Pelodiscus sinensis: one gene and its partners. The protein of the gene in region 1 binds, or shares a complex with, the protein of each later gene. Links are inferred from orthologs where the notes say so. Each region holds a gene or a part of one and is shown in the gene's direction. Other genes may lie near its edges.

Region 1 (9,935 bases):
ACTCATTCACTTTCACCAGGCTGGGGTAGCGGGTTGGGGTGCAGGTTCTGGTCTCGGACCAAGGGGTTTTGAGTGTGGGAGGGGCTCTGGACTTAGCCCAGGGTGTGGGATTGGGGTCCAGAGGGGTTTCAGGGTGCAAGCTCTGGGAAGGAGTTTGGGTGCAGGGGGACACACATCTGGGGCAGGAAGTTGGGTGTAGGAGGAGGTTCAGGGCTGGGACAGGGGTTCAGGAAGCAGGCTCTGTCTGGGCACTGTTTAACTGAGACAGTTTCTGGGTGGTGGAGCAATGAGGTTAAGGCAGGCTTATTCCTGCCCTGGCCCTGCAACACTCCTGAAAGCAGCTGGCATGTACAGCAATGGCTCTATGGTGCCATGTGCTGCCCCTCATCTACAGGCCCTGAGCCCACACATTCTACTGGCCATTACTGATCAGTGGGAGCTACAGGAGCACTGTCTGCAGGCAAGGACAGCATGTGGAGACCCCCTGCTCTGCCTTTCTCAGGGGCTGCAGGGACATGCCAGCTACTTCCATAAGCAACAATTACCACAGGGAGAATTACTCCAGCCGCTATAGGTTAGACATTTTAGAACTCACTACTGAAAGAATTAAATTTAAGTGTAAGAGAGAAACTAAAATTATGAAATGCACAGACCAGTCAAAAACCAAAATAACAGACTTTGCAAGTAGTACAAGAAGTAACAACAACCCCCCCAAGTTTGTGCTGGATTGGGAGATGAGCATAAAGGACAGTGCATGTTTGTGAGAATGACAAACACACACAGTGTGTGAGAGTGTCAGAGATTTTCATTGCCAACCTCCCTCCATCCCCTTCTTTTTGTAGAGATGGGGTACAGAAGTGGGGGGAGAACATCAGCATTCCCTGTTTTCTCCCTCCCACCTCCTGCACAGCAAGTAGGAGGCTCCCAAGGTGGCAGCTCCAAGGCAAAGGGCAGGAGTAGCATGAGGTGTAGGGACAGCATTTGATAGCATCCTAACCAAATCAGTCAGGATCACCTGTCAGAGGCTCCAAGATCTATCAATCTATTCCAATCCACTGGTTGGTGACCATTTCTGTAGCACCTTAAAGACTAACTGTTTTATTTGGACATTAGCTTTCGTGGGTAGAAAAACACTTCATCAGATGCAACAAATAAATCTGTTAGTCTTTAAGGTGCCACAGGACTCCTAGTTTCTGAGAGATGTAGCTATACTCATGTAAATTGTTAGGGAAGATCCAGCCTGAGTGTGCTCAAGTTACTGCAGTCCAGTTAGGCTAGCTCAATTGATAAAAGCATACTGGAGTTACACACAGGGTATGACCCACTTCCTCAGATCAAATAGTGGAAGAAAATTATTTTCTTCCACTATTTGATCTGAGGAAGTGGGTCTGGCCCACAAAAGCTCATCATCTAATAAACCATCTTGTTAGTCTTTAAAGTGCTACATAGTCCTGTATTTTGTTTCAGCTACACCAGACTAACACGGCTACATTTCTATCACTATTCTACACAGGGTATGTGATTTATAGCACAAGGTAATGGGATTAGCTGCTGATGAGTTGTAATTTGGGTTGTTGCATTCCCACAGTACTACCAGCTAATGCACCAGGATCACGGGAGGGAGCTTCAACTAACCCCTTCTTGAGTTTAAAGCACCATTTAATCTGACCTAGAGTTTTTTGTGTGGGGACATAGATGAGTTAGGTGTAACATTCCAACTAACTGTGTTAAGAAATCACAACCTGGCTGAGTTAAGTCTATTGAGATAAATAGAGAGAAGTTCACACCTCTCCAAACTTTTGTTTCATGCTCTTAACGGATAGATGTTATTTCATCAGCTACACTAAGACAATGTCTACACTGGAAGAGGTAAAGGGATGGCTAAATAGTGAAAATGCAGAGTATTGTGACCACACTTGCAGTGGCTTTCGGAGCACTGCACTGTGGACAACTATCCCACAGAGCACCCCCTCCTCTTCTGCAGCTCAGGGCCGGATTAAGGGGGGGGCTAGCCAGGTAGCTGCCTGGGGCGCCAACCTCTGGGGGATGCCTGATGGCAGCTGTAAGGGGCACCGTGCGCCGCCCCTTAGAGCTGCCATCAGGCACCACACGCCCAATTGCAGCTGTAAGGTGCACAGCGCGCTGGGGCTGCGCATGCGCCGTGCAGCGGAGCCGTGCATTCATCACGCACCCGCAGCCCGGGGCGCAGGAATGGCTCAAGCCAGCCCTGCTTCTGCTGCTGACTTTTATGGGAAGGCAAAAGGAGACCAGGGTCATCCTAAATCATTTCACGTCCCAGCAGCCCATGTGCTTCTGTCTGTATTTGGCCCCATCTTTGAACAGCTTTTGTGCTGTGTGCTCTGCCTCCTTGGTCTGTGGGAAAGGATCCCCAGCTGTTGAAGAAAATGCTGATAGGTCTCACTAACACGGTCAGAAATGACACCAGAATGTTGCAAATAACCAAACAACATGCTTTAAAGGCAGGTGGGATTTTTTAAAAGATTTAAAGAAAAAATGTGCAAGTATTTTAAGACGATTCCAGAACCTCAGCACAGTGCATCTATGATTAACCTGTATATGCAACCCCCATAATTTCATATTGCCATAACCCCTATTCTTTCTTTTCATTACCCCTTTCATTGCTCTCATTTATTATGTTAAGTCTTAGATTGGATGATTCACCGCAAAATAGAGAAATAAAGGAACAAAACCTCACTGTTACCATCCTTCCTTTCCATGCTTGTCCCCACCTTCTACCTGCCTGGCTCTCCCCAGTGGGAGTCCTATTCTGCCCTCCCCCCAAACTCCCTGAAGTCCCATGCACATTTCTACCTCCAAGGCCAATTCCATCCCTCTCTTCCCAGCCTCCCCGTGCTTTGTTGCCAGACTTGCCCAACTCCCTTTTCACCCCAGCTCACTCACATGGAGAGAAAGTTTTGTTCATAGTGCCAGCCCCACAATCTCTGGCAGGAGGAGACTCCGCTTCTCTCCAGATGGTGGTGGTCCAGGCTGCTGCACCCTCAGTGACAGTCTGTGTGACTACACACTCCTGGGGTGGGGGGTCCAGGGTGGAGATGGAGCCCTTAGCTGCCTGGCTGAAGAGTGAATGGGTGACAGGGAAGGGCTGAAAAGCCCACTGGCCAGACACTGGGGAGGGCCAGAGGAGTCTGTACTGTGGGCAAAAAAGTGAAGTCCCACCACAGCCAGCAAGGGGAAGCTCTAAAATCTTGGCTTTGTAAAAGCAGAAATAGTTCAAAACTCAAAGCTAAATATACCATCCAACAGCTTCACTGTATCCTGAATAAATGCAAACAGCACCTCTGATACCACAACCCTACTACTCAACCCTCACAGGGAAACAGCTGAGAGAATAAATGAGAGGGAGGAACAAAGAGGAGGGAAAGAGAACGAGAGAGAGAGAGGGCAAAGGAGACAGGGAAAGGGAATCCGTTTTTGATGTCATAATTCTATCAGATCATGAATTTTTCATGGATGCCAACTAGTTATAAAATAATGCAGTACTGACAACCTTAAATGTTCAAAAATCATAGTATAACTCCAGAATAATGGAATTTTAATAAGTTATTAATATAGGGCTTATTTTATTTCCTTCTGTCTTTTCAGTTTTCAGGGTGTTAATTTTCCAGCTTTTGTCTGCAGCCCTCAGTGGTAGAAACTTTTTCTTAAATTAAAGCTGAGATTCCCATCTAATTGTGTCTCCAGGAGTTAGAACTTTAAGAAAAATGTGATATATTGCAAAAGTTGCCATGAAATCACAAGAACTAGCAAAGCTGAATGCCATTCCCACAGTATTTGTTTTTGAAACACTAAGATTTTGCTGCAAAACAGACAAAAACATGATTTCAGTTGTGCTTATTAAATACTTTTTAAAAAATTGTTTGCAATCACATCTCTGCCGTCTACTACAAATTAATTTAAAATGGTAAACGAAGGCCAATGGCAAATGGGGAAAATAAATGGGTAGAATTGGAGCTGACTTGTGGGCATCCTATTAATAGTTTAAGCTAAACATTTTATAAACTAAATGCAAGGAATGAACATAACTTAAAATGTCAATGACCCAAATCAGATTTTCTACCCATAACAAAAATTCAAATTCTATGATTCTATATAATGGCAACTTTCATTTAGCCTTTTATCCTGCAATTACACTAGTGCAGACCACTACACTTGCATGAAATGTCAGTGAAATTAGGGATTCTTGATAAGTACAGGGACTGTACAAGTACACCTATTGCAGGAACAGGACTTTAGATTGTATATTCCTATTTGGGAACTAGCCCTTCAAATACTTATGAATGTGACTGATTTACTGAGTAAATAAAGTTATTAATGTGTTTTGCAGGACTGGAACCTTAGATGTTAAGATCATCAGGGTATAGCATCTGGCAAACCTGAGTGTTTAATCAATGTTTAAAATACATGTATTGAAATAAAAATCAATTTAAGAATAACAACAATAGGGTGTGCTTTGGTAGGGTAGTACCTAGCTATTCTTAGATCAGCTGAGCTGAAGGTAGCAGGTCATGTTTTGTGGCCCAGAGACCCCTAAACTGTGTATAGGAGTTACACTTGAGATAATTTTAACCACAGTATTCTTGAACACGGTTCCACCTGAACTCCTCTGGAAATGTATCATTTTGGTCTTAAGTAATGGAAGAGAGACATTTCTCCACAATTGTGCTAGCCAACACTAAAGCCTTTGAGATTGCAATTTATAGGAAAGAGATTTTTATAAAGTACTGATATTTCTATCCCTGATGAATTGAGTATGCAATGGGGCCAGTGACTTTTCCAAGGTTAAGAAGTAATGAGATTTTGTGTGAATGCACAGAGAGAATTTTTGAAGTAGCAGCCGTAATTTCTGAAAGGAGAAATGTGCTACTGTGTCTGAAACGTCTTTATTCCTGTCTTTGAATACGAATTCCCCTTATCAGCAGCTTTTCCTCGTATCCAAGTGGCTTGTCATTTAAAACCCAACCTGCTTGGGTACCAAGCAGTGAGGAGGATCCAGGTCGTTGCCCCAGATCGGTCACCCCCTCACGCTATAGATCTTTAGGCTGATAATTCAAAAATGGAGGATGAGTCCTCTCAGCCATTAATTAATAATGTAGCTCTCTGTCTTCCTGTGTGACACACACGAGAAGGCACTGAGCGGCCAATAAAGATGTAGGGTAGAGAAGTGAAAAGCTCCTCCCAGCAGCTCTTCCTCATTGAGCTGAAGTAGATCAAAAACTTCCCAGGAGCTGAGGGGGAAAGACAGCAGAGCAAGAGGAGGAAAATAAGCAAGGAGGAGAAGATCTCCGTACCCCCCACCCAGGCAAAAAGGGGTCGGGACCCTATTAAACAGACGGTAGGTAAGAGGAGGAAGACCTCTTTATATACCACTCCGACGGGCGGACAAGGAAGTTCCCATTACGCACCCGCCGGGAATGAGAAGGGTGACCCCACTATGCCCCTCCCGGCCGGCAGAGACGCGGACGTAGGGGAGTCCCACTGGCCACTAGCCCGGCAGGAAGCGAAGGAGGAAGAGAAGTGATCACCGCTCCCCTCCCCCCCGGTTTGCTGAGTAGGGGTTGGGAGGAGGCGGCGAAGGGGGAGTGGAAGTTGGTGTCCGACCCGGCGTGTGCAGGTCAGAGGCGGGGAAGGGGGTGACCCCGTGGCCGGGGAACCGGTGGAGACAAAGCGCGATCGCAGCAGCCGGGGTATCCCCGAGCCGAGCACGTTGTGTGACTCCAGGGGGAGTGGGCCGCCTCCGCCTGCTGCTCGGCGTCATGGCCCCATTGTGAGGCAGGAGGAGGAGGCGGGGGAGGAAGGATCCGTAGCTCCCTCCTCGCAGTCCCAGGCAGGCAGCGGCGTGTCAAGCACACAAAAGGCTGCCGCCGCCGCCGGATTCCCAGTAGCGCCGCGACCCGAGCTGCTCCCCTGGGGGGAGGGACACGCCGGGCCCCGCTCCCTCCTCCCGGGCCGCCGCTCGCACTCACTCTCCTTTTCCCTCCAATTTGAAGCGGGCCGGGGCAGGAAGGAGCGCGCGGAGCGGGGCGATGCCGCTGCTGCACCGAAAGCCCTTCGTGAGGGAGAAGCCCCCCGCCGACCTGCGGCCCGACGAGCGCGTCTTCTACTGCAGGGTCACCAACGAGATCTTTAGGGACTACGAGTAAGAGACGACCCCCCCCCCTCCTGGTCCGCTTCCCCTTCCCCGGGCGGGCCGGGCAGTTTAACCTCCCGAACGGCTGACATCTGGGGTGGGAGGGGATTCCCTGCCCGGCGTCCCGGAGACACTCCGCTGGGAGCGCTGTGGGCGGCGAGCCCTGCGTCTCCCCGGCTGGGGAGGGCGCCCCGCGGAGACCGGGATCCCCTCCCCGAACCCGCCTCACCCCCGGGGTCCCGTCAGGCCCCACGGGGAGGCCAGTCGCCACCCTGGCTCCTGGGGCGGCGGGGAAGCAGCGGGCGAGCTGCCTAGCGTGCGGTGTCACTATCCGGGCGCCCCGGCCGCGGGCCGCCAGAGGCAGCCGGGAAGTGAAAGTTGAGCGGGAGGCAGTAAGTGCCTGGCCCGGCCCCCAGCTCCTTCAGGGGCGCCCGAGCCGCATGTCGGCAGCTACTAGGCCTCGCTGCGTGCGCCAGCCCCGCCCACAGCCCCCAGAGAAGGGGCACAACGGTCACCGGGCCGCTGGCGCTGAACAGCCGCGCGCCTAACTCGGGCTCGGCGGCGGCCGGGCCGCGGTTTAAATAGCGCCGTGGGGGAGCGGCGGCCCCTGAGTGCGGGTCGAGCAGCCTGACATGTGCTGCTGCCTCACTATTGTTGTCGTAGCAGCCGGGCCGGGGTTGTGGGGGGCGCACCACGCGGAGCCATTTCAGCCCCCACCCTCTCATTAACCCTTTCCTTGTTCTCGCCCGGGGTTGCCGCGCTCCTGCCGCGCCGCCAGCCTCGCCCCCGTCAGCTCCAATGCACTGCCGGGTTGAGAGTTGCTGAGTGACCGTTTGAACTCCCTCCCAGCTCCTGGTCTTGAACGTGCCCTGTCTCGGCGCTTGCATCAAGCAATAGTTGGGGGGTTCTTTCATCAGCTTTGCAGCCCTGACACTCGTCCTTTGAGACTGAGGAGGAGGATTGCTGGGGGCAAGGATGTTGTATCTGTCCCTAAGGGCATTAATGTCAGGGTATTATAGTAGCATCTTTAATTCCACTTTGCAGGCTTTCTGCTCACAGCAGCCTCTTAAGGTAACTGAGATTTTCCGTGTCAGAGGAACGCCAATTTAATGCAGTAAAAATCACCCAAAACAAACCCAACGCAGTTTCCAGTAGTGTGCAAAGCCGCAGGTTTCCCCACCAATATTTATAGCTTGACAGCCATTTTTCTATTAGAATGTATTTCCCCTGTTCTTGTGTAAAAGACCAACAGAGATTGTGAAACAGTGTTGTCAAATGTACAAGACCTATGCAAAAAGCAGGAAAAATTATATTTCTCTGTTCTCACTCACTTATGCTGATTATGATTATTTTGTAGCAGCAGTGGGTAAAAATCTTTAGAAAGATAAGATTTTGTTTTAAAGCTGACTCTTTTAACTTTACAATCTGATCCAACATTACTTATAAGATATGAATGTTAATTAATCACTTCCACCCACCCACAAAATGTTCCCAAAAATCAAATTTTGTCTTACGTTTTTTTTTTAAAATAAATACTTTCTTTTGCAGTATGTAAAATTAGAGCACATGTAAATTTTACCATGCTTGGACTTGTTTTTGCTACTCAAATAGACTTCACCAAATAATATCTTAAGAGGAGTTGGATTGAATAATTTTGAAAGGGTCCTTGTGTTTCCTAAATTGTAGTGGAGGAGAGAATTAAAAAAAAAAAAGCCCGTAAAGAAAGTTTATTAAGTGTAGTTCAGAAGTGTCTGCATTAACATATCAAGGATATAAAAGGCAGGAACATAAGGACCTACGTTTTTCTACAGAATATAAGATTTCTCTTAATTCCACTATTTTGAAAATGTCTTTCATAAATAAAATTAGGGTGCATTTACACCACACCTAAACTTGAAATAAGATACGCAATTTGCACAGTGTAAATTGTGTATCTTATTTCAATTCTAATTTGAAATTTGGTACATCTGCACAGCGCCAAATTTTGAAAAAACCCGCACTATTTTGAGACCTCTCTTAACCCTTGTGGAACAAGAGTTACAGGGATGTTGAAATAGTGTACCCGTTATTTTGAAAAATATTTCAAAATAACAGGCGGCTTGTTAAGATGCGGAGTAGCTATTTTGGGATACTTCTGGTATCCCAAAATAGCCATGCTGTCTAGACGTACCCTTATTGTTATCACAGTATTATAACTGACTCTCATTAACAACCCAAATTAAAATCAAGTGTATATGTGTAGTTTAGAAAGACACTCAACAGAATGAAGCTTTAGTACCTCTTTCATAACTGCATGGAAGAGTTGTAAAGATTAAAAAAAAAAAAAAAAAGTCCTTCAGTATTTGGAAAGGGCCGAATTCCATGTTTTAATCTGGTTCCTAGGCTGGCTGGATCTAGAAATACATACTACACTCAGTTCTCAATTACTCTTTGCTCAGATCTGATGGCAGCTTGCAAGGATTAAATATGGCCTTCATGTACTAACTAAACTTTTAGTTACTATTTGTCATATTAGATATCACTCAGTGGGAAAATACTCTTTCACTTTCTGGACCATTGCTATATCTGCACTCACCTACTCTATTTCTTTTCCCTTTCCTTGATCTTTGATGGTTAGGCTGAGAAAAGGGAGTACAGCAATTCCTCATTTAACACGTGCCAGCTTAACACGTTTTTGTGATAGCATGATTTTTTTTTTTAAGGGAACATTTTTTTAATTACATGACTGTCCCCGGAATAACACCATTTCCCCAGGCGGCCCGTCGCTGGCGGCTACGCAGGGCTTTCCCTGCCTCCCTGCAAAGCGGCAGAGGGTTTGCCGCTCGCCATGCCGTTCCCCGGCGACTTCCTCCCCCCGTTCCCCTTCGCTGGATGCAGAGCAGGTCCTGGCAGACCCATCACAGGGGCATACTCCCAATCCAATCCCCCTCCCCTCTCCTCCCCTTCCCTTCCACACAGCCAAACACCTTCCCTCCCTGCTGTAACCCAGTCCCCTTTCTCCCCCAACCTTATGTCCCGGTCCCAACAGACATCACCACTTGAAACGCAACCCCCACTTTTTCCATTATTTTCAATGGGAAAATTGACCCCACATAACACGTTTTCACTTAACACGATCATTTTCTGAAACATATCTATAGTGTTAAATGAGGAATTACTGTATGTTTTTGTTTTAAATCAAGTGGGCAATGTGTTTTGAAATGTCATTTAACACCTTTTACTGTCATAGTTTAACACCTTTAAAATTGTGTTAGCTGGTTGTGATGTATTCTAACTGAGAACTGAAGATCACCATCCACTGTGTTTTTAAAGGTGGTAGAAATCTAGTCTCTACTAGGGATGCCAAAATTAGTTTATATTGGCAAACGTGTAACTGCTGACATTTTCAGTAGTTAAACGTTTACATGTGGGAAGGAGGTAGGTGACTCCATTCCCTTCCCCTGCGCTGCTGCCTCAGATACAGGCTCATTGGTTAATCATTTACATGTTTACACTATCATATCCCTAATCTCCACTAATTGTAAAGTGATATTTAAAAGTGCATTTAAAAGTGCATAAGCTAATACATTTGAAAAACTTTTTTTTTCACAACTGCACAATAAGCCAGTGGAACTCATTGATGCCAGATATTATTGATGCCAGTGGTTTAGCAGAATTCCAAAAATAGTTGTATGTGTAAATGGCATACATTATGGTGACAACTGATTTGCTGCATTCCAGCTCTGGGAGGAAGGGGACAGAGCATGAATCAGGCAATTCTTATGCT
Region 2 (10,238 bases), on another chromosome or scaffold:
AGAGGGATGAGAAAATTTACAGACTTTGGGTATATCTACACTGCATTACTCTTTTGAGAGAGGAATGCAAATGCAGCCGAGCAAAATTGCATATGAAGCGCAGATTTGAATTTCCTGAGCTTCATTTGTGTAATCACATCCGGCCACTATGTCGAAATACCCATTTTCGAGATAAAAAACGCTGTGTAGATGAGGCTATTTCGAGAAAAAACCCTTCCTTCAAAATAACCCGTTCTCCTTATATAATGAGGTTTAAGGGTTATTTCTAAAGAATGATTTTTTCTTGAAATAACCGCGTTTACACAGCGTTTTTCATCTCAAAATAGGGTATTTCGACATAGCGGCCGGACACGATTATGTAAATGAAGCGCGGGAAATTCAAATCTGCGCTTCATTTGCAATTTCGCTTGGCTGCATTTGCATTCCTCTCTCGAAAGAGGAATGCAGTGTAGACATACCCTTTGAGATTTAAAAACTTAAAGCTTTATAGCTGTTAAAACAGTGTCAATATCGTATCAAAATATACAAAGTTCTGAAGCAGCATTTTCTTTCTGTAAATTTAAATTACTACTGATGGAAATGTGTTTTTGTTGTGTGTGTGGTGATATTGATGTTTACAGACATATACCTGTCGGCACATCTAGACTATGTGTGGTTTCCGAAAGAAAATATGCAAATTCGGCTTGAATTTGCGTATCTTCTTCTGGTTTTTTTCCCCGAAAGAGGATTTTCCAATATTTGGCCCCGTGTAGATGAAAAAAATGGAAGATATGCAAATTCAAGCCGAATTTGCATATCTTCTTTCGGAAGCCACACATAGTGTAGACATGCCGCAAATATCTGCCACCGATAAATGCTGTTTTAATTTGTGCCATAACACAAGAGTGCCCAAATAGTGTCCCACTGAGGGCACCTTTGGCCACTTAACCAGCTGAAAAAGTTAGCCCTGAGTTCTGTAAAAAGCAGATCCTGGCAACTACTCATCTTTCCCCTCTGTCACTCACATTTCCAACTTTATTCAAATAGGTGAAGCTCATCTCCCTCTGTGGCATCACGCGTGACTCTGCCACTGAGTTCAGTCCTGGGAAATGAGTTCTTTCTAAACTGAAATATAGGTACAAACCAAAATCACAGTGAGACCAATACAAACTAACAGCATGCAAAGGACATTAGCTGCTATTAAGGCTGTAGTCAGGGCTGGCTCGAGCCATTCTTGCATCCCGGGTGCCCCTTACGGCTGCAATCAGATGCCCACCCCCAGGTTGGTGCAGCTTCCCGGCTAGCCCCCTCCTTAATCCGGCCCTTGCTGTAGTAGGCAGAGACCTACGCAGATACAAAATTTGTATTGCATGCAAACTGCAAACATTGTCCATAGATACAAAGCAGATTTTAAGGGCTCAAGTAGTAGATTCCCCATCATTTACAGTTTTTAAATCGGGGGTACTGGGGGCTCAAGCTGGCACAGAAAACAGGCTCAGTGAGGGTCTCATCACATGGGATGACAGCACCAAATGGGGCCTGACCTATTACAAACACAATTTTGGCCTTACTGGCTTTGTCTTCATGCAAAAACGATGTGTGTTTTTCCATCGAGAAAGCTGTCCTGATATAAAATCTTAGCGGAGACAAAGTGCAGGTAGTTCTTACATCAGTGCAGCTAACTCGGGGGGGGGGGGGCAATTAATCAGTTATACATGAGCAGCAGGAGCCATAACCTCTGTATATTCATAAGCCCTAAGTATGAATATAGTTCATATACATATTAAAAACTGGCAGATAATGCAAGGAAAATAGAAGAGCTGCAGGGCTTTCCTTCTGAGCCAATAGCCTGAGTTTCTTGGAAGGTGCCTTTGTTAGATTGTTGTTGGCTAACTTGAGGTGAAATTCTAGCAACAAGAAGGTAGTTTGTAGTCCTTACATGAGTTAGCGGATGCAGTTAAAGACAAATAATACATCTTACACAGTACGGATGTAAAATCCGGATTAATCTGTTAAACACTTAAACATTAGATTAAGCTAATGTTAACTGATTAACCAAGTAAGCAGGATTCTAGGCAAAACATTCAATTTGTTTTTTTGGTTTAAACTGTAAGCTGTTTGTGGTTGGGACTGTTTATGGATTTGTGCAATGTATACAATGAGGATCTGGCATTAATTTGAACAATATGAATATTTCAATAACAATGTATCCTATATTCCAGGAGAGTAATCTGGTCTTTTAAAGGCATTTATTTTTAAGCCCCGATTGTATAAATCAATGCACACAGTTAACACTGAAATCAATGGGTCCACTCACATGTGTGAAGTTCAGCATATGTGTAATTTTTTGCAGAATTAGGGCCATAAGTGGTAACCGTTTGCTCTGTAATGTATGAAACACGGATAGGGTAACATGTTCCATGACCCACAGGAACTACCATCTCTCTCAAGGGTGCCACCATTCTGCTACAGAGTCTTAGTCCTGGGAATACTGGAAACATTCATAAATCATCCAGAGATTGGAGGTTGGCAGCAATTCACCTGACTTCAGAATTTCTTTCAAAGAAATCATAGACTGAAGTTTCATACAGAGAAGGAGAAAAAGAGGTCTCAAGTGCAGCCAAGGAGGAAATAGTTCTGTTACAATTGGAACATCTGATCCTTTCTTGGGGAGAACAATTGCTGGGAAAGTTTACAATCTTCAGTGATGGTAACTCATCTACAAATTAAAAGCAAAGACACTGTGAACACTGAGGATCTGAGGTTACAGGAGTCTACAATTAAAATGGACAATATTTAGTTAGAACTAAACGGTCACTCTATATATTATTTACAGCTTTGTCAGTATTCTATTAGCCCATTTTAATTGTAACTAATTAAAATGTAATTAATCCTATGCCTTCTATCAGAGAAGATCAAAATACTTTACAAACATCTGAAGAAGTGGGTTGTGCCCACGAAAGCTCATGAGACTAGCTATATTTTTGTTAGGCTCTAAGGTGCTACAGGACCATTAGTTGTTTTTTAATTTTTTTCAGTTACAGACTAACACGGCTACTCTTCTGACACTTTTACAAATAATAGTTAATTCAGCTTCATAATCCCTCCAACTCCCAACCCAGCTTAACCCACCATGGAAAGGGCAGCCACCTCTGCTCTATTTAATAATGCAGGGCAATACTACATAACAGTTTGAAAGGACATGAAGAATAATATAAATCTAATTTCAGGGAGAACTTTTAGTTAGGATAAATTTCATTGCCTCACTGGAATTTGGCTGTGACACCAAATTTAACATCTTGTTACACAGAAAATCAGGGGCTATTTAATAATCATAAGTGCTCAAGATCTGTTTTACCTCTCACATGAAAGATTATTGCTTTCAAAAACTGTGATGGGGCAGTCCATATTCTTTATGGAACTGTGCTTATGAATATAAATATAACATAACTGGAATATGCTTTATGCAGACTACGTTGCAAAGTATCATTGGAAAAGCTGCAATTTACTGAATATGATTCTCTCATTTGTTTGCACGTATCATTTTTGTAGACTCAAGTTAAGAATATTGAACTGTGTATCTGTAAATGCATATTTGCTGTTTTCAGTCACTCCCACTGATTACACTTTAAGGCTATCAGGGCCCGTTAGCAAAGAGACAATAGAGCTTAATGTTCCTGTGGACTTGTTGGTCAGCCTGTGAAGTATGGAGACTAGGGCCTTGCAGATACATGTGACCATGTTACTTGGTACTGGAATTTAATTTAGATAAATTCAAATGAGAAATTAGGCACACACATTTAACGTTAAGGGTGACTGAACAAACTACCAAAAGCAGTGGTGGGTTCTCAATCTCTGTATCCTGTCTTCAAATCAAGGCTTAAATTTCTTTCTGGATAATATGCTTTAGTCAAACACAAGTTATTGGGTTCAGTACAAGAGTGATGGTGAAATGTTATGGCATGTACCATGCAGAAGGACACAGTAGATGATCTAATGATCCTTTCTAGCTTTCAAAAAAAAGCTACAAACAGTCTAACTTGACCTGTTAACTTGTGTAAAAACAACAAATTGTACTAGGATTGTCCCTGAAGTTGGCTAACAAGTTCAGAATAAACTTAAAAAACAAATAGTCTTGCAGCACCTTAGAGACTAAGGGTATGTCTACACTTGCACCCTCTTTTGAGAGAGGGATGCAAATGAAGACATTCGAAATGGCAAATGAAGTCGGGATTTAAATATCCCATGCTTCATTTGCATAATAGCGCTATTTTGAAATAACAGTCGCTGTTAAGACGTGGTTATTTCGAGAGAAAACCTCTCTCTTGAAATAACTGGTAAACCTCAAAAGTGGGTGTAAGTGTAGATATACCCTAATGAAAGAAGATGGTATCATGAACTTTCATGGGCACAACCCACTTCTTCAGATGAATGGAGTTCAGAATAGAAGTTTCTCCTCTCAGGCTTGTCTCCGCTGGCAATTGCGCAAGAAAGCTTTTGTCATTCACAGGTGCTTAAAAACCCACCCTCCTGAATGGCAAAGCTTTGACATGGCAAGTACTAGTGTAAACAGTGCATTGTCCATGATAGCCACTCCTAGGGGGTGGAAGTTTTTTGTAGGTAAAACTGCCAACAGTGTTTACGCTGCCTGACTTTTAGGGAGAGGGCGGTGTTGCTAAAAGCTATGTAGAGTAGACATGCCGAAAGATAGGGTGGGCCATGGTCACTGGGTTTACCTTTGCTTTCTGAAGAAGAAACCCTGCAGAGTGTGTCAAAGTTTCTTAAACGGATCCGAGGCTGTCCCTGTTCAATCCTCCTTATAGTGTCCCAGCACTGTGGGTGTTGGCAGACAGCCATGTCACAGATGGTTTCGTCCCACTGGCTGACACCTGCAGTCACCATATTTGCAACCATCCAGACATTAATGAATAGCAGTAAGCTGGCAATACTGGATGTCTGAATACTCTGCAAAAACAGAAGAACTGAACACAGTGAGAAATGTTAACAAGAATCGTAACATTACCATAAAATAACAGCACATGAAGTAGTCATAATTTCCTACTTTTATTCTGGGTTGTCTTGTTAGGTGACTGTGATCCTGGGAACCCCTCGATGCCAACTAGCAGAGGGCTCACCACACTACAACACACTTTACGTCTGACACACTGATTACCGCCAACAAACTGCTATCATAATATGTATCACATGGAAACCTGCTGGTCCCGAACATCATTGCACGATGCATGAATAGCTTGTGTACAAAGAATGATAGATAGATAGATAGATAGATAGATAGATAGATAGATAGATAGATAGATAGATAGATAGATAGATAGATAGTGCTTCTTCTGGGAGGTCGGGGCCGAAATGCGGTCGCAGGGGCCCCTTTAATTGCTGCGTGTCCGAGCAGACTCCCATCTGGCGAAAAGCGAGTGCTCAGGGCCGGATGGGGGCTGTGCTGGAAGAAAGCAAAGAGTGCTTCCAAAAAAAGGTGATGGTACGCTGCATATCGTAACAAAAAAAGGAATGTATATATATGTGCTAGAAATGTATTATTAAAATATATGTAGGAAGCAGCGCAATAAAGGCTGCCTGGCCAATTAAGCCCTCTCTGTGGCCTGCTTCTCATGGGGTGAGTTGACAGCATAGCGGGACAGTCCTCAGTGCTGCGCAGGAATAAAAAGCTCCCAATGCAACAGCATCACGTCACCCAGCTCCCACTTTGCCACCTGAGGGGGATTCCAGAGCCCGGGGTATAAAGCACTCCCCTCCCCCACCTCTGTCCCCACGGCCACTCCCCTCCCCCCCACCTCTGTCCCCACGGCCACTCCCCTCCCCCCCACCTCTGCCCCCACGGCCACTCCCCTCCCCCCCACCTCTGCCCCCACGGCCACTCCCCCAGCCGCTCCCCTCTTGCCCCCCCATCCAGCCACCATCCGCTCCCCCTCCCGTTCTCTCCCCCGCACTGCCCAGGCCCCCCCCTACATCCCCTGCGCTCGCGGGGGCCGCCTCTCACCTGCCCGCGGCTGCCCAGGCTCGGCCCCGCTAGACGCGTTGCCAGGCAACAACCCGCGCCCGGGCAAGGCGGGTGCGGCCGCGGTGCACGCCGGGAAGAAGGCGGGGGCGGGGGAGGCTGTCGCCCGCGCGCTGCATGCTGGGAGGGGTGAGAGGTCAGGGGCTGGGCGCGCGGTTCGGTTCGCGGGGCCTTTGGTCCGCACGCGGGCGGGGGCGCAGGGAGCGGACACGGAGCCAGTGGCCCGCGGGCCGGGCCTCCACTGCCCCCCCCTCGGGTGTCCACTCCCCCCCGCCACTGTCAGCGCCGGGAAGGGCGGCTCCCCCCGCGGGAGGGGCGCTGCTGGGGGGGCGGTCTGCCTGCGCCCCCCCCCCCCCCCCGGGCTCTGGGCCCACCGGCCTGACCCCGCCGCGCCCGCTGAGGAGCCCGCGCAGCACTCGCAGGTGTCACGCGCTGGGTTCGCTTCCGGGGGGGGGGAGTCTGACATTGAACCCCCCCCCCCCCGGGCCCTGCAGCCCCTTGGCCTGCACCCGGGCACCCTGGGGCAAGCCGCGGCCCGCGGACACCTCAGCAGCGTCTCTGCCGGGACACGTAGACGGGGCATGAGCGCTGAGGCGCTGGGGTCGGACCCCCGCACGCTCGCGGCCCCCTCTGCTGCTTTGTGAGCCTGCAAGGGGCTGCTCGGCCGCCCGGTGCTTTTAAATATAAAATCGTGGGCGCCGCCCGCTCGTGAAAATGTGGGTTGCGCCCACAGAAGCTCATGGCAATATAGAGACAAAAGCAACAGATAGTCTGGTAGCACGTTAGTCTTTAAAGTGCTACCAGACTGTGTGTTGTTTGAATTCATCCTGTCCAGATTAACTGGGCTACTCCCCTGAAGCTTATACACATAATGTTAGTCTCTAAGGTGCTACAGGACCACTCTGGGGTTTGTTTGTTTTTTAAATACACAGGGGAGTTAAGAAAAAAAAATCCAGGGAATCCCTTTTACCTCTGCTGGTTCTGCAGAGGTATCGGGAATAAAGAGTAGTAAAGATATTTTCTCATTGACAAGCAACTAGATGTATGGGGCAGAGCTGCTGAGTAAGCTGGTGTCACTTTTATATGGGCACTTTGCATAGCAGAACTGCCTAGCTCTACTATAATAATGAGACGTGTTGTATTATAAGCAGAACTGGTAAGCAGAAAAAATAGCTTGAATAGTTCTCATTTTAGTTCTAGGTGTTCAAAGATGGCAGAAAGACCAGAGGACTTGAACCTGCCCAATGCTGTCATCACTCGGATAATTAAAGAAGCAGTGAGTATCACTGGAGAGCTAAAAGCATTCAAGAAGATTGAATTAAAAGACTGAAAACATCAATAGAGTACAGTGTGCCAGTTACACATAAATTGGGTCCTTTGCTGTGTAATTTTTTAAACTTTTGTGTTGTAGATGGTAAAACAGTTTGATGGGAAAACTGTCAATTTGAAATTAATCATTTGCTAAAAAAATCCCTTGTTAGCTCTTGTGGTTTTACAGCTACTTTTTTAGCATTTTTTCTGCCCCTTGCTTTGAGAGACATACCAGAACAGGGAAATCTGACTACATAGTAAAATGAACTTCTTTATGCCAGGTGCTCAAGGTAAATTGGGAAAAACAGAGAAATACTGTTCTGTGATCTTTATTGCGTTTTTTTTTTTTTAAGTTGTAGTTTAACGGGTGATGCTTACCAGGTAACAGTTAATTGGTGCCAGGGAGTAGCCCCTTGCCCGTGACCTGCAGTAGATGGAGGGCTGCTCCAACCCACCATGCCACAGGCCAGGGTGGGAACTGGCAGCCACTCACGGACCCAGGAGCCCTGCTTACAGAGTAGGGGGATGCCGTTCCAGCTGGGCTGCAGCCTCCTCTCAACCCCAAATCCTGCTTAATCAATTACCTGGTTAAACCTTGGTTAACTGTTTAAATGGGATTTTACATCCTTACTGCAAATACTCAGGATGATTTGACCAAACTGGTGACTTTCAGTCCCATTAGACTGGACTTGATAAGTCTCCAGATCCATATGACTTGAATTGCATCTGATAAAATGGCATTTCCCTTTTCCCAGCTTCCTGAGGGAGTGAACATTTCCAAAGAAGCTCGGAGTGCAATATCTCGAGCTGCAAGTGTGTTTGTGTTGTATGCCACATCATGGTAAGCATCACTGGTGACCTGATCTAATGGACCATTTGATCTGTAGCTAGCCTTTCTGCTGGCTCTCTTTGATGGAATTTTTTCACTACCTGTAATGAAAGACATGTTTATCTTTCATGTACACGAAGCATTATAAAGCTTAATGTGGCTTTAGTTTGTAATGTGACCTTTGTGTAATATAAGATTGTTAAAAATAGTTTTTGATTAAGTAGCAAATACTTTCTTTTGCATCAGTGCTTCATAATGCCATCAGTTATTTGCCCAGTATATACATTCTGAGGGCCTACAAAGATGGGGCTGGGTTATTGCCTGTTCCCGGTAGTGATCACTTACATCCTTAACCATCACATTTGATTTACCTTTATCACTGCACTTTATCATTTTTTCAGAAAACACTGGTCATAAAATTATAAAGCCTTTTTATAGCAAACATTAATTTACATAAGGGCTCCTTGTTCTTGCGTTATGTGAATCCATTGTAGCCTTATGACTTCCCTTCTGAGTGCTAACCTAAATAATGTAGTAACTAACTAGGCATGTTTCATACTGTATGTTAAATTACTCATTGAGTTTTATAGCATTTAGCTTCCTCCTGCACTTAAATTCTCTAAATCTATAGCAGTTGAAATTCAGTTTGATGGCATACCTTTTAATTTTACAGGGACGTTTGAATACTAGTGAACTTTTAAAAAACGAATTAAATTATACATGTAGTAACTACATATTTGCTAGTGTCCTTGAATCATCTTGCCACTTTTACAACCACATTTAAACATGTTTTTTTTTTTCTTGTAGTTTAAAAGACCCATATAAATGGTAACCTCACTAACGTGAAACTGACTAGATACACTTAAATGCACACTATAAACAAAGGTTTTTTTTTTTTAATTTAATCTGTTTCCTGGTCAGTCATCCTAGGTGCTGCTTATCACAATAGCAATTGAGTATTTCAGAGAGCCGTAATTGTTTAAGTTGGCTGTGCTGCTTTGAACAGATGGAATTTGGGGTTGATTTGCTATTTGATATTTATTCTGCTTCCTCACTTTAACTAGCGCAAATAACTTTGCAGTGAAGGGGAAAAGGAAAACACTGAATGCTGGAGATGTCCTCTCAGCCATGGAGGAAATGGAGTTCCAGCGATTTATCGCGCCTTTGAAGGAATCATTGGAAGGTAACTTGTTCTTTAATTGTATATTAAATTAGTCCTAATGACAATGAGTCCTATTTACCCTGAGGGTTGGACATCCAAATCTTACCTCCCTTTTTTTGTCAGAAAATTTTTCATTGCAGTTTTAATGGGGACATATGAACATGTAGTTTACCAGAACTTCTATGATGTAATTTCATAACTGTATTTTAAGGATGCACAGTCATGGTTTTTCTGTCTTTCCCCATCACTTCTGTGTAATGTACATGAATTCCTGTTACCTTCTTCCCATCTTTCTGCTAAACATCATTTAACATAACTTCCTCTAGAGCCTGTCAGCACAGCTCAGATAACAGGATGAGTAGCTACTATAAAGAGATTCAGTGTTCCATTTTTATAAGCCTGGAGAGCAAGGGGAGACCCTGGGTCATAGCATGGGGGAGCACATCTAGATTGTCCCTACAATGGATACAATAACATACATATGTCCAATTGTAGTTCTCTTGTTCTGTTAGTTTACAGGCGTGAGCAAAAAGGCAAGAAAGAAGCAAGGAAAGACAAGAAGGCAGACTCTGAGGAACAAGACAAGAGCAGGGAGGAGGAGAATGATGAAGATGATGAACGGATGGAAGAGGAGGAACAAAATGATGATGAAGAGGTGGATAACTGAGCTTCCTGCAGACACACAGGCATGTGGGCTGGGCTGGGCTGCCCTCCTAGACATATACATACTGTAAATCAACCTTGAAGTGTCCTCTTGCTTTCCAGTTTCCAGCAAAGTTCTGTGCTGCTCCTATGGGATCCATCCCTCCTGGCTTTCATTCCCAGGTGTAAGCAGGCATCCTGATGAGATTGATGCAGCTTCTGTCGTGGAAAGGCCACCTCTTCGCCATTGCATGGGGCACTTGGTACTCGCTCCAGATTCT
Region 3 (10,018 bases), on another chromosome or scaffold:
AAACCTGTGTAGCTGCTAATCCCTCAGAGCCACCAGCCTGTGAAGTCACACCTGAGTGCATTAATGCTATGCCCAGCCATCCATGAATAAGTACAGAGCAATACCCCCATATCTGTCAGTCCCAAGCTTTGACCACCAAAAATGTGTTGGGTACTGTTCAGTATCTATTGAATTGTATACACTCATAAACTAGTCAGACCAACAAAGAGTAATGAATATACATCAGCACTGCTGAAATCAAACACACTGATTTCGATAAAAGACGTTTATTAGCTAGCAATCGATAGATTTTAACTGATTTACAAGTGGTAAGACATAAAGGTCATGTAACTCCAAGGCATTGAGATCACAGAGAAGGGACAGTGAAGTCCACTCTACTGCCTTAGCTGAGTGTTTGCTGACTTTTAGCTCATGCTATAGAACAGAGGTGAGGAATCATTTTTGGGTTGGTGGCCACTAACCCACAGAAAAATCAGTGAGGGACTGCACATAAGTGAGAAACCATTAAAAAAATCACCCCTCACCAGAGTAGGCTCCCCAGTGCTGCTGTGGACCAGCCTCTGTTTGTGGGGAGCTCAGATCACAGACAGGGTCTGCTGCCAAGGGGCTGCTATATCAGGCTACATCTACACTGCGTGTTTTTTGTGGAAGAGGAAATGCAAATGAAGTGCTCATTTGCATATCTTGCTCTCTCATTTGCATATATTCTTCTGATCCTTTTTGTGGCAGGCTGGGCAGAAGAGGAAGGAGAGCTCAGTGGTTTGAGCATTGGCTTGCTAACCCAGAAGTTGTAAGTTCAAACCTTGCGGGGGCCATTTAGGGGTCTAGGATAAATCTGTCAGGGATGGTACTTGGTCCTACTGTGAAGGCAGGGGACATGACTTCTCAAGGTCCCTTCCAGCTCTATGAGACAACATATCTCCAGATATTATATGAGAAGAGGTTTTTACAATAAAAAGCCCCATGTAGATGGGGCCATTTGTCAGGAAGAAACCCTTTGCGCAAAAGCCTGTAAACATCATTTTTTGAGGAATAAGGGATCTTGCACAAAAGGTTTTTTTTCCGACAAATGGCCCTGTCTATACAGGGCTTTTTATTGCAAAAATCTCTTCCGCAAAAATGATTGGAAGAATATATGCAAATGAGAGTGCAAGATATTCAAATGAGCACTCCATTTGCATTTCCTCTTCTGCAAAAAACCCACCATGTAGACGTAACCTCAGAGGCAACAGCATGGGGCAGCAGGCAGCAAGTTTGCATGGGGAGCTGGTTTTTAAAATGGCTCCCCTGATGGACCAGCTCTGCCTGCCACCCTGCAGTGCTGCCTCTGATACAGAAGCAGAAGCGCGAGGTGACAGGGAGCTCCCTGGGACAGAAAGTGGGGCAGAGAGCACACTGGCTGCCAACCCGCCCCCAGTGACTATCAAATAGTTGTGCAATCACTAATATTTCATGCCGTTACATGACTATTCCATTACACAATATCTAACATCCTTAGAGGCGACGCCACCTGTACCTCTTATGCCACAATGATGTTACAAGCTCCAGGATAAATGCTGGTTCTGGTTAACTAGCCCCTGAGCACCCAAAACTACTCTCTGTAGGAATTTGCTACTTAGAGTATACTGCGCATGCTCACATGAACTGACCATGTCTGGAGTTTGTCTGGAAATGGGTGACGGGGAGGGATCACGTGAGGATTACCTGTTGTTACCTTGACTGAGGAAGGTTTCTGATCAAAGGGAGCATAGATTTCAGCAAGCTCCTGGAGTAATATCTCATTGGAGATGAAAGGGCATGTTCAGACAGCTATTTTGAAGTCTGTAGGGTAAAGATGAGCCAGAGGCTTTATATTACAGACCAACTATCTTAATTTTTGTACCTGGGAAGTTACAGGAACAAATAATTAAGCAATCAGTTTGCAAACATCTAGAAGAAAATAAGGTGATAAGTAACAGTAAGCATGGATTTGTCAAGAACAATTCATATCAAACCAACCTGATGGATTTCTCTTACAGGATAAGAAATCTTGTGGCTCGGGGGGAAGTGATAGATGTGGTATATCTTGACTTTAGTAAAACTTTTGATACTTTGACCGTCTTGTAAACAAATTAGGGAAATGCTACCTACATGGAGCTATTATAAGGTGCATGCATAACTGGTTGCAAATTCATTCCCCGAGAGTAGTTATCAGTGGTTCACAGTCATTGCTGGAAAAGCATAATGAGTGAGGTCACACAGAGATCAAGCCTGGGTCTGGTGCAACTGTTCATCAATGATTTAGATCAGTAATTCTCAAAGTTCACAATGGGCCCACTTTGTTTACCTAAAGGGTCTGTAGCCACAGAGCCTCACAGCTGCCATTGGCTCTGGTTTGCCATTTACAACCAAGGGGAGTTACAGGAAAGCAGCAGCCCGGGCCATGCCACTTCCCGCGGCTCCTCCTGACTAGAAACAGCAAACCAGAGCCAATGGGAGCCGTGAGGGCCAGAGAAGAGCAATAACAATGGTTAATGGTCTAGGAAAAAATGACCTATGATGGAAGATTTTAAAAATTGGGTTTGTTTAGTCTGTAAAAAGAAGTCTGAGGGTACATGATAATAATTTTCAAGTACCTAAAAGATAGTTATAATGAGGAAGGAGAAAAATTGTTCTTAACCACTGGGGCTTGACAAAAAGCAATGGCCTTAAACTGCAGCAAGGGAGGTTTAGGTTGGATGTCAGGAAAACCTTCCTAACGCTCAGGTTGGTTATCCACTAGAAAAAAATTAACTTGGCAGATGATGGACTCTCCATCTTTGGCCATTTTTAAGAGGTTAGACAAACACCTGTCAGGGATGGTATAAAATAGATCAGGGGTTGGCAACGGACAGCACGCATGCCATAAGTGGCATGTGAGTTGATTTTGAGTGGCATGTGCAGAGGGAGCTCAGCCCCGCGCTGCTGCTGGTGCCTCGTGGCTGGTGCACAACCGCAGCACCAGTTCTGGGCGGGGGGCAAGCAAGGAGGCTGCAGATTGGGATGTGCACAAGCGGCCAGTACTGTCCCCCTTCTCTGCCCACCCAACTTATTGCAGAGCTGGTGAAAGCAGGTGAGCCACTGGTGGTGGTGGTGGTGGCACACCTAGGCTCAGCTGGGCAAGCTCCTCCGGGGGCCAGCGCCTGGACTTGGGCCACATGGCTGCGGCAGCTACTCCTCCAGCAATTGGGGGCAGGACTGGGATCAGGGCTGCAGCAGCTGCTCCTCCAGTAGCCAGGGCCAGGGCTGCAAGGCAGAGCAGGGCTGCTCCAGGGATAGCCAGTCTGCATGGAGAAGCGGGGCTGCTCCAGGGGCTGGAGCTGCTCTGGGAGTGTCTGGGCCACGTGATGGAGCAGGGCTGCTCCAGGGGCCAGAGCTGCTCCGAGGGCAGCTAGGCCACATGGGAGAGAGGGGCGCCCCGATCTGGCTGCCTGGGGCAGGTTGGAGTGAGGTTGGGGTACAGCAGCCGCAGGCTCGCTTTGGGGCACTGTTTTCCTGCTTTGGAGGGGCGTGTGTGTGGAACTGCCTTCCAGCCCCTCTGCTGCCATTGCCTGGGAGTCCTGACCCCACCTCCTCCAGCCCGCTGCTCTCAACCTTTTGCACAGCCCCAGCCCTGCAGCCCCAGCTCTCCCCGCTCTGCTCGCCTCCTTTTCTGCCTTGTGGTGCCCCTGGCAGACAGGCTAAAGATGGCGCTGAAGTCATGCCCAGCCACCAGCACCTCTCTAGAGGGTGAATGCTGCCCAGGCTGCGGCTCTGGGGCTGGGTGGCGGGGGCGGCTTAGGCAGCGAGGAAAACGCATAGGGGTCTCCTGTCCCAAAGCTGTGTTGGCCCGTAGCACCTGAGTCCCTGGCAGGAAGGTGAGGGTGCCATGGACTGGACCCTCATGGGACCCCACCCCCAGCAGGGCTGGACACCCTGGGGTCACCCATCCAACCCCTGCCTTGCCCATTTCCCTTACCCCCCACCCCAGCCACCCTGACTCCAACCTGTGCTGGTTATACAGCATTGTGCCCCAGCAAGATTGGAGCCCACACCAGCTTCCTATGTAGAGGGGGAAGTCCCAAGACTCCACACCACATCCAGCTTCCGGGAAAGTACACACATGCTGCTCCCCCCCCCCTTCCCACAGGAAAAGCTGGAGCAGAGCCCAGGGCAGGAGACCAAGTGGGTGTGCGGTGGAGAGAGCCCCTCCTGGGGTGGGGGGCAGGAAAGCAGCCCAGGGCAGGAGGGTTAAATCTTGGCATGCCACTTCAGAAAGGTTGCTGACCCCTGGAACAGATGGTACTTGGTGCTGCCGTGAGTGCGGAAGACAGTTATTTGTAGGAATTTACTACATCAGGTGGTAGATTTTTGTACAATAGCAACGAGGAGTCCTGTGGCACCTTATAGACTAACTGAAGTGTTGGAGCATAAGCTTTCGTGGGCAAAGACCCACTTCGTCAGATGCACGTCTACATGCATGGCTACATGCATCTGACGAAGTGAGTCTTTGCCCACAAAAGCTTATGCTCCAACACTTCAGTTTAGTAGTCTATATAAGGTGCCATAGCACTCCTCGCCGCTTTTGCAGATTCAGACTAACACGGCTACCCCTCCGATACTTGTACAGTAGCAGTTTCCTACAATCCAGTAACTCCTATAGGTGGCATATTTCTAGGGTTTCCGTATTTGAACTTTCAAAAAAGAGCACACCTGGAGAGGGAGTTGAAGCAAAATGCAGGACAATGTAGCACTTTAAAGACTAACAAGATGGTTTATTAGATGATGAGCTTTCGTGGGCCAGACCCACTTCATTTGATCTGAGGAAGTGGGTCTGGCCCACGAAAGCTCATCATCTAATAAACCATCTAGTTAGTCTTTAAAGCGCTACATTGTCCTGCATTTTGCTTCAACTACCCCAGACTAACACGGCTACATTTCTATCACTGGAGAGGGAGTGTATCTGTATCTGCCAACACATGAATACAAGGTGAGTTGGCAGATACTGATACACTTTTTTGAAAGTTCAAAGATGGAAACCCTCACATTTCTACACAGAGCAGTTTCAGGAACCCAACAGTGAGCAAGGGCTAGCCACAGGGATTTGCTCCCTCAGCTAGCGGTCTTCCACCACAGCCCATCGCCTATCAGCAACTGCTACAGGGAGCAGCCTCCTACGCTCCTCCCGCGGAGCCTCTCAAGGGAGCTTCAAGCAAGGGGCGGGGCTGATGCATCAATTGTAGCCCTTCCCCTAGGAGAGCAGGCTGGATGACGCCAGCGAGGGAGAGGTGCATCCTGGGAGGTGTAGTCCTCCGCCTGCCCCCCGCGCGCAAGAGCGCACGAGCAGAAAACTACCACTCCCGCAGGGCTGTGCTTCCCGGCCTGGCGCTTGGAACGACGGTTGAGGCCGGGGCGCTGAAGCGGCGCGGAAAATGGCGGCGGCGAGGCTGAGCGGCGGAGACAACCGTCTGGTGTCGCTGCCCCTCTCCCGGATCCGGGTGATCATGAAGAGCTCGCCGGAGGTGTCCAGCATCAACCAGGACGCGCTGTTCCTCACCGCCAAGGCCACGGTACCGGGCTCGGATCTCCTGGCGGGGCCGGGCGAGGAGCTCGGCGGGGCTGGGGCCAGGCCCGAGTGGGACTCGTGCTCTTTGGTCGCTGGCACCAGGCACGCTCGTGCGGGGCGCGACCTGCTGTGGAGAAGCCTTGGGCAGCATCTGCCCGTGGCTGTTTCCAGCCCCTGGGGGGGGGAGGGGCTGAAAACGGGGGGGGGGGGGGGGTGCCAGTGAAATCGCTTAGTCCGTTTCCTCAGGGAAGGGGAGGTTGTCCTGACTCACTAGATGTCTTGGGTTGCAGCCTGGCGCGTGGCAAAAATCGTGCCAGGGATTGAGGGGGGGGGGGTTTAATAGCAGCCTTCAACTTCCTGAAGGGGGGTTCCAAAGAGGATGGAGAGAGGCTGTTCTCAGTAGTGACAGATGGCAGAACAAGGAGCAATGGTCTCAAGTTGTGGTGGGAGAGGTCCAGGTTGGATATTAAGAAAAACTATTTCACTAGGAGGGTGATGAAGCACTGGAATGGGTTCCCTAGGGAAGGAGTGGAGTCTCCATCCCTAGAGGTGTTTAAGTCTTGGATTGACAAAGCCCTGGCCGGGTTGATTTAGTTGGGATTGGTCCTGCCTAGAGCAGGGGGCTGGACTTGCTGACCTTCTGAGGTCTCTTCCAGTTCTATGATCATTGCCCCTCCTGCTTCCATGAAGCATAGAGTATCCGTAGATCAAAGTCTGAGGCCTGTCTGCTCTCCCTGTTCATGAGGGTTCAAACAAAAGCTCAGGACATTCATGGAGGTTAGGTCCATCAAGGGTTATTGGCCAGGATGGATAGGAATGGTGTCTGTATCCTCTGTTTGTTGGGAGCTGGAATGGGTGACAGGGCGTGGCTCATCTGTTTTGTTCCTTCCCTTTTGGGCACCTGCTATTGACCGCAGGATACTGGGCTAGATGGACTTTGGGTCTGGCCCAGTATGGCCGTTCTTATGAGGAATCACAAATGCGCTGGTGTTAGAATGCCAGCCAGCTCCTTTTCTGAGTTCCTCAGATTTTTGTGTCTTGACCTAGACTTCCACAAGCATCTCCAAAGGGGGAAATTACATGCAATTTTAGAAGTGCTTTTTGGATCCCCTTTTCAGCAAAATAAACCTGACTAGGCACAGGCATTTAGTTGAAAATCATTGTGCACCTCCTATGCATGCTGCCAGGGAAAGCAGCACGTGTAGAAGCTGCACGTAGGGGATTACCTTTTTAGTAACTGAACTGCAAGATCCTGTACCACAATATTATTATCTGAATATTGACAAGGTTTCAGTTATCAAAATTCATCAGATAATTGAGACATTCTAGTAAGACCAGTGCATGATCTAGTTGATCATATATGTTCCTGGGTGTAGCCATGGAATACAGCATTACACTTTTCGCTTCTGCTAAACCTGGTCTACACTAAAATGTTAGGTAAGCCAATTTAGAGTCAGAGAGTTGTTGTTAACGGTTCTAAATCCTGCTGGAAAGGGATAACAAGTGGAGTTCCTCAAGGGTCTGTTTTGGGACCCGTACTGTTCAATATCTTCATCAATGATGTAGATATTGGGATAGAGAGTACGCTTATTAAGTTTGCAGATGATACCAAACTGGGTGGGGTTGCAACTTCTTTGGAGGATAGGGACATAATTCAAAATGACCTTAGCAAGTTAGAGAAATGGTCAGAGGTAAACAGGATGAGGTTTAATAAAGAGAAATGCAAAGTGCTCCACTTAGGAAGGAACAATCAGTTCCATACATACAAGATGGGAAGCGACTGTCTAGGAAGGAGCATGGCGGAAAGGGATCTAGGGGTCATAGTGGACCACAAGTTGAATATGAGTCAACAGTGTGATGCTGTTGCAAAAAAAGCAAATATGATTCTAGGTTGTATCAACAAGTGTGTTGTAAGCAAAACTCGTGAAGTCATTCTGCCGCTCTACTCTGTACTAGTTAGTCCTCAGCTGGAGTACTGTGTCCAGTTCTGGGCGCCACATTTCAAGAAAGATGTGGAGAAATTGGAAAGGGTCCAGAGAAGAGCGACAAGAATGATTAAAGGTTTAGAGAACATGACCTATGAAGCCAGGCTTCATGAACTGGGCTTGTTTAGTTTGGAAAAAAGAAGATTAAGGGGGGACATGATAGCGGTTTTCAAATATCTAAAAGGGTGTCACAAGGAGGAAGGAGAAAATTTGTTCCTCTTGGTTTCTGAGGACAGGACAAGGAGTAATGGGCTCAAAGTGCAGCAGGGGAGGTTTAGATTGGACATTAGGAAAAAATTCCTAACTGTCAGGGTGGTCAAATATTGGAATAAATTGCCAAGGGAGGTGGTGGAATCTCCCTCTCTGGAGATATTTAAGAACAGGTTAGATAGACATCTGTCAGGGATGGTGTAGGTGGAGCTTGGTCCTGCCTTGAGGGCGGGGGGCTGGACTCGATGACCTCTTGAGGTCCCTTCCAGTCCTATTATTCTATGATTCTATGATTCTATCCTCCTCTATAAGAAGCATAAGACATTTGTCTGTGTAGTTAGGGTGACAAAGTATTCCTGTAGACATTGTTCCTTGCATATATTGGCTGTCATTCTTGTCAACTTCAGGGTTCTGGTGCAGCCATGAAATTGACAAGAAAGTTGGCTTCCTGCTGGAAGCATAGCTGTGCCTGGCAGGGAGCTCTGATCCCCGAGCCTAGGGTGGCTGCCCTGTTTCTGTCAAGGAGCCAAGAAGCCCAGTGTAGCTGCCCCGTTTCCAGGGTGGAGCTGAAGTGGGAGGGCATCCCAACTACAGCTATGTGCAGAGCTAAGATCGCTGGCTCTCAGCCTCCTACCCTGTCCCTCTTATGTTGATGGAAGTGCTCCTGGTGGAGATATACACCACTGTCAGAAGGACAGTGAGACTGTGTCTACATTGGCATGTTTTTGCACAAAAGCGGGTGCTTTTGCGCAAAAACATGCTGCCTATCTACACTGGCGGGGAGTTCTTGCGCAAGAACACAAGTTCTGATGTGTGAAATCAGTGCTTCTTGCGCAAGAACTATGATGCTCCCGCTCAGGAATAAGCCCTCTTGCGCAACTGTTCTTGTGCAAGAGGCCAGTGTAGACAGGCAACATGAATTTCTTGTGCAAGAAAGCCTGATGGCTAAAATGGCCATCAGAGCTTTCTTGCTCAAGAGAGCGTCTACACTGGCACGGATGCTCTTGCGCAAAAGCACATCTCTTGTGCAAAAGCACATGCCAGTGTAGACACTCTTGCGCAAATACTTTAACGCAAAAACTCTTGTGTTAAAAGTATTTGCACAAAATCTTGCCAATGTAGACATAGCCTGAGTGATTATGTGAACCACCCTAGCAATCACTGCAGTGGCTTAAGTTGACTTGACTTAAGTTTTATAGTGTGGACATGCCCTGATATAAAGCTCTGTGACATTCAGTGGAAGTTGCCCCTTGGTGAGTGATGGACTTAATTTGTACTAAATGTAACCTGACGGTCTCTTTCATTATTTCTTTTAATAGGGAAGGAGTCTTTTATCACTTAAGTAGTGGAAACTAGCAAGCATTTTTGCATTATTTAATTACACCCAGAAATATTTTCTTGATATCATCTATCCCATTAGTGTCTGCAGAAGGGATGACAGACTTGAGTGAGTGACACACGTTGTTAGTCTAAGGCCCCAGTTCTGCAATTGGCTACTCACAGATGTACACCTTTGTCTGCTTACACAGCTACATCAAAATTAGTGGGACTCTGTAAGTGCAGGGCAGTGGTTGCATGCAACTAATGCCCGGATTGGGCCTTAAATAAGGGTTTGAAACTTTGCAGCCAGCTGTACACAGGAATTAAGAATTTGACAGGTTTCTTTTCTTTTTTTTTCAGGAGCTCTTTGTCCAGTATTTAGCCACTTACTCCTACAAACATGGCCGCGGGAAAGAGAAGAGATCCCTAACCTATAGTGATCTATCCCACACAGCAGAGGAATCTGAAACGTTTCAGTTCCTTGCTGGTACGTATAGCAATTGTGGCAAATCAGTATGTGCGACTGAAAATAAGGAACAGCTCCTGCATAGCAGTAGTTGTCATTGCAAAGCTATTACTGTAAAGTCTCTTTTTGACTGTTAACAGTTCATGGTCCAAATAATTGACAGACATTCTGCATTAATGAATAGGCTGCTTTTTTCATTGATGTAAAAATGCACAAAGCCATGGGACAGAATCATTGCACCTCCAATTATTACAACAGTCATACTTAACATTCAAGTTGCTGTCTTTCTAGCACCTTTTAACAGTATCCCTGAGTAGTGAACAGTATCTCAATTTTACAACTCAGAAAACACAGGTACAGAGTGATTAAAGTGACTTTAAAGTCAGTTTGAGAGAGGAATACCAAGGAAGTATGTAACTCCATCTTCTGTTTTAACCTATAGACAAGATTCCCTTTAATAACTTCATATGTGCC

The links.
Region 2: BAZ1A (region 1) and POLE3 share a complex: the UniProt entries of both Homo sapiens proteins name them as parts of the CHRAC ISWI chromatin remodeling complex. The link is inferred for Pelodiscus sinensis from reciprocal best matches to the Homo sapiens genes BAZ1A and POLE3.
Region 3: BAZ1A (region 1) and CHRAC1 share a complex: the UniProt entries of both Homo sapiens proteins name them as parts of the CHRAC ISWI chromatin remodeling complex. The link is inferred for Pelodiscus sinensis from reciprocal best matches to the Homo sapiens genes BAZ1A and CHRAC1.

Annotation. Positions count from the first base shown.
Region 1 is NC_134714.1:48,391,830-48,401,764, forward strand, and holds the start of BAZ1A (bromodomain adjacent to zinc finger domain protein 1A), read left to right. Parts: upstream 1-5,215; 5' UTR 5,216-5,374; exon of another isoform or gene 5,375-5,378; intron 5,379-5,482; exon of another isoform or gene 5,483-5,653; intron 5,654-6,029; 5' UTR 6,030-6,065; coding exon 6,066-6,178; intron 6,179-9,935. UniProt on the Homo sapiens protein: Regulatory subunit of the ATP-dependent ACF-1 and ACF-5 ISWI chromatin remodeling complexes, which form ordered nucleosome arrays on chromatin and slide edge- and center-positioned histone octamers away from their original location on the DNA template to facilitate access to DNA during DNA-templated processes such as DNA replication, transcription, and repair.
Region 2 is NC_134732.1:3,226,808-3,237,045, forward strand, and holds the start of POLE3 (DNA polymerase epsilon subunit 3), read left to right. Parts: upstream 1-6,095; 5' UTR 6,096-6,149; exon of another isoform or gene 6,150-6,435; intron 6,436-7,207; 5' UTR 7,208-7,223; coding exon 7,224-7,289; intron 7,290-8,079; coding exon 8,080-8,165; intron 8,166-9,217; coding exon 9,218-9,336; intron 9,337-9,827; coding exon 9,828-9,970; coding exon of another isoform or gene 9,971-9,982; exon of another isoform or gene 9,983-10,080; coding exon 10,081-10,146; 3' UTR 10,147-10,238. Other genes in the region: C22H9orf43 (uncharacterized protein C9orf43 homolog), read right to left, coding at 1,005-1,104, 2,521-2,698, 4,716-4,893. UniProt on the Homo sapiens protein: Accessory component of the DNA polymerase epsilon complex. Participates in DNA repair and in chromosomal DNA replication.
Region 3 is NC_134712.1:7,846,067-7,856,084, reverse strand, and holds the start of CHRAC1 (chromatin accessibility complex protein 1), read left to right. Parts: upstream 1-5,367; 5' UTR 5,368-5,429; coding exon 5,430-5,567; intron 5,568-9,438; coding exon 9,439-9,565; intron 9,566-10,018. UniProt on the Homo sapiens protein: Forms a complex with DNA polymerase epsilon subunit POLE3 and binds naked DNA, which is then incorporated into chromatin, aided by the nucleosome remodeling activity of ISWI/SNF2H and ACF1.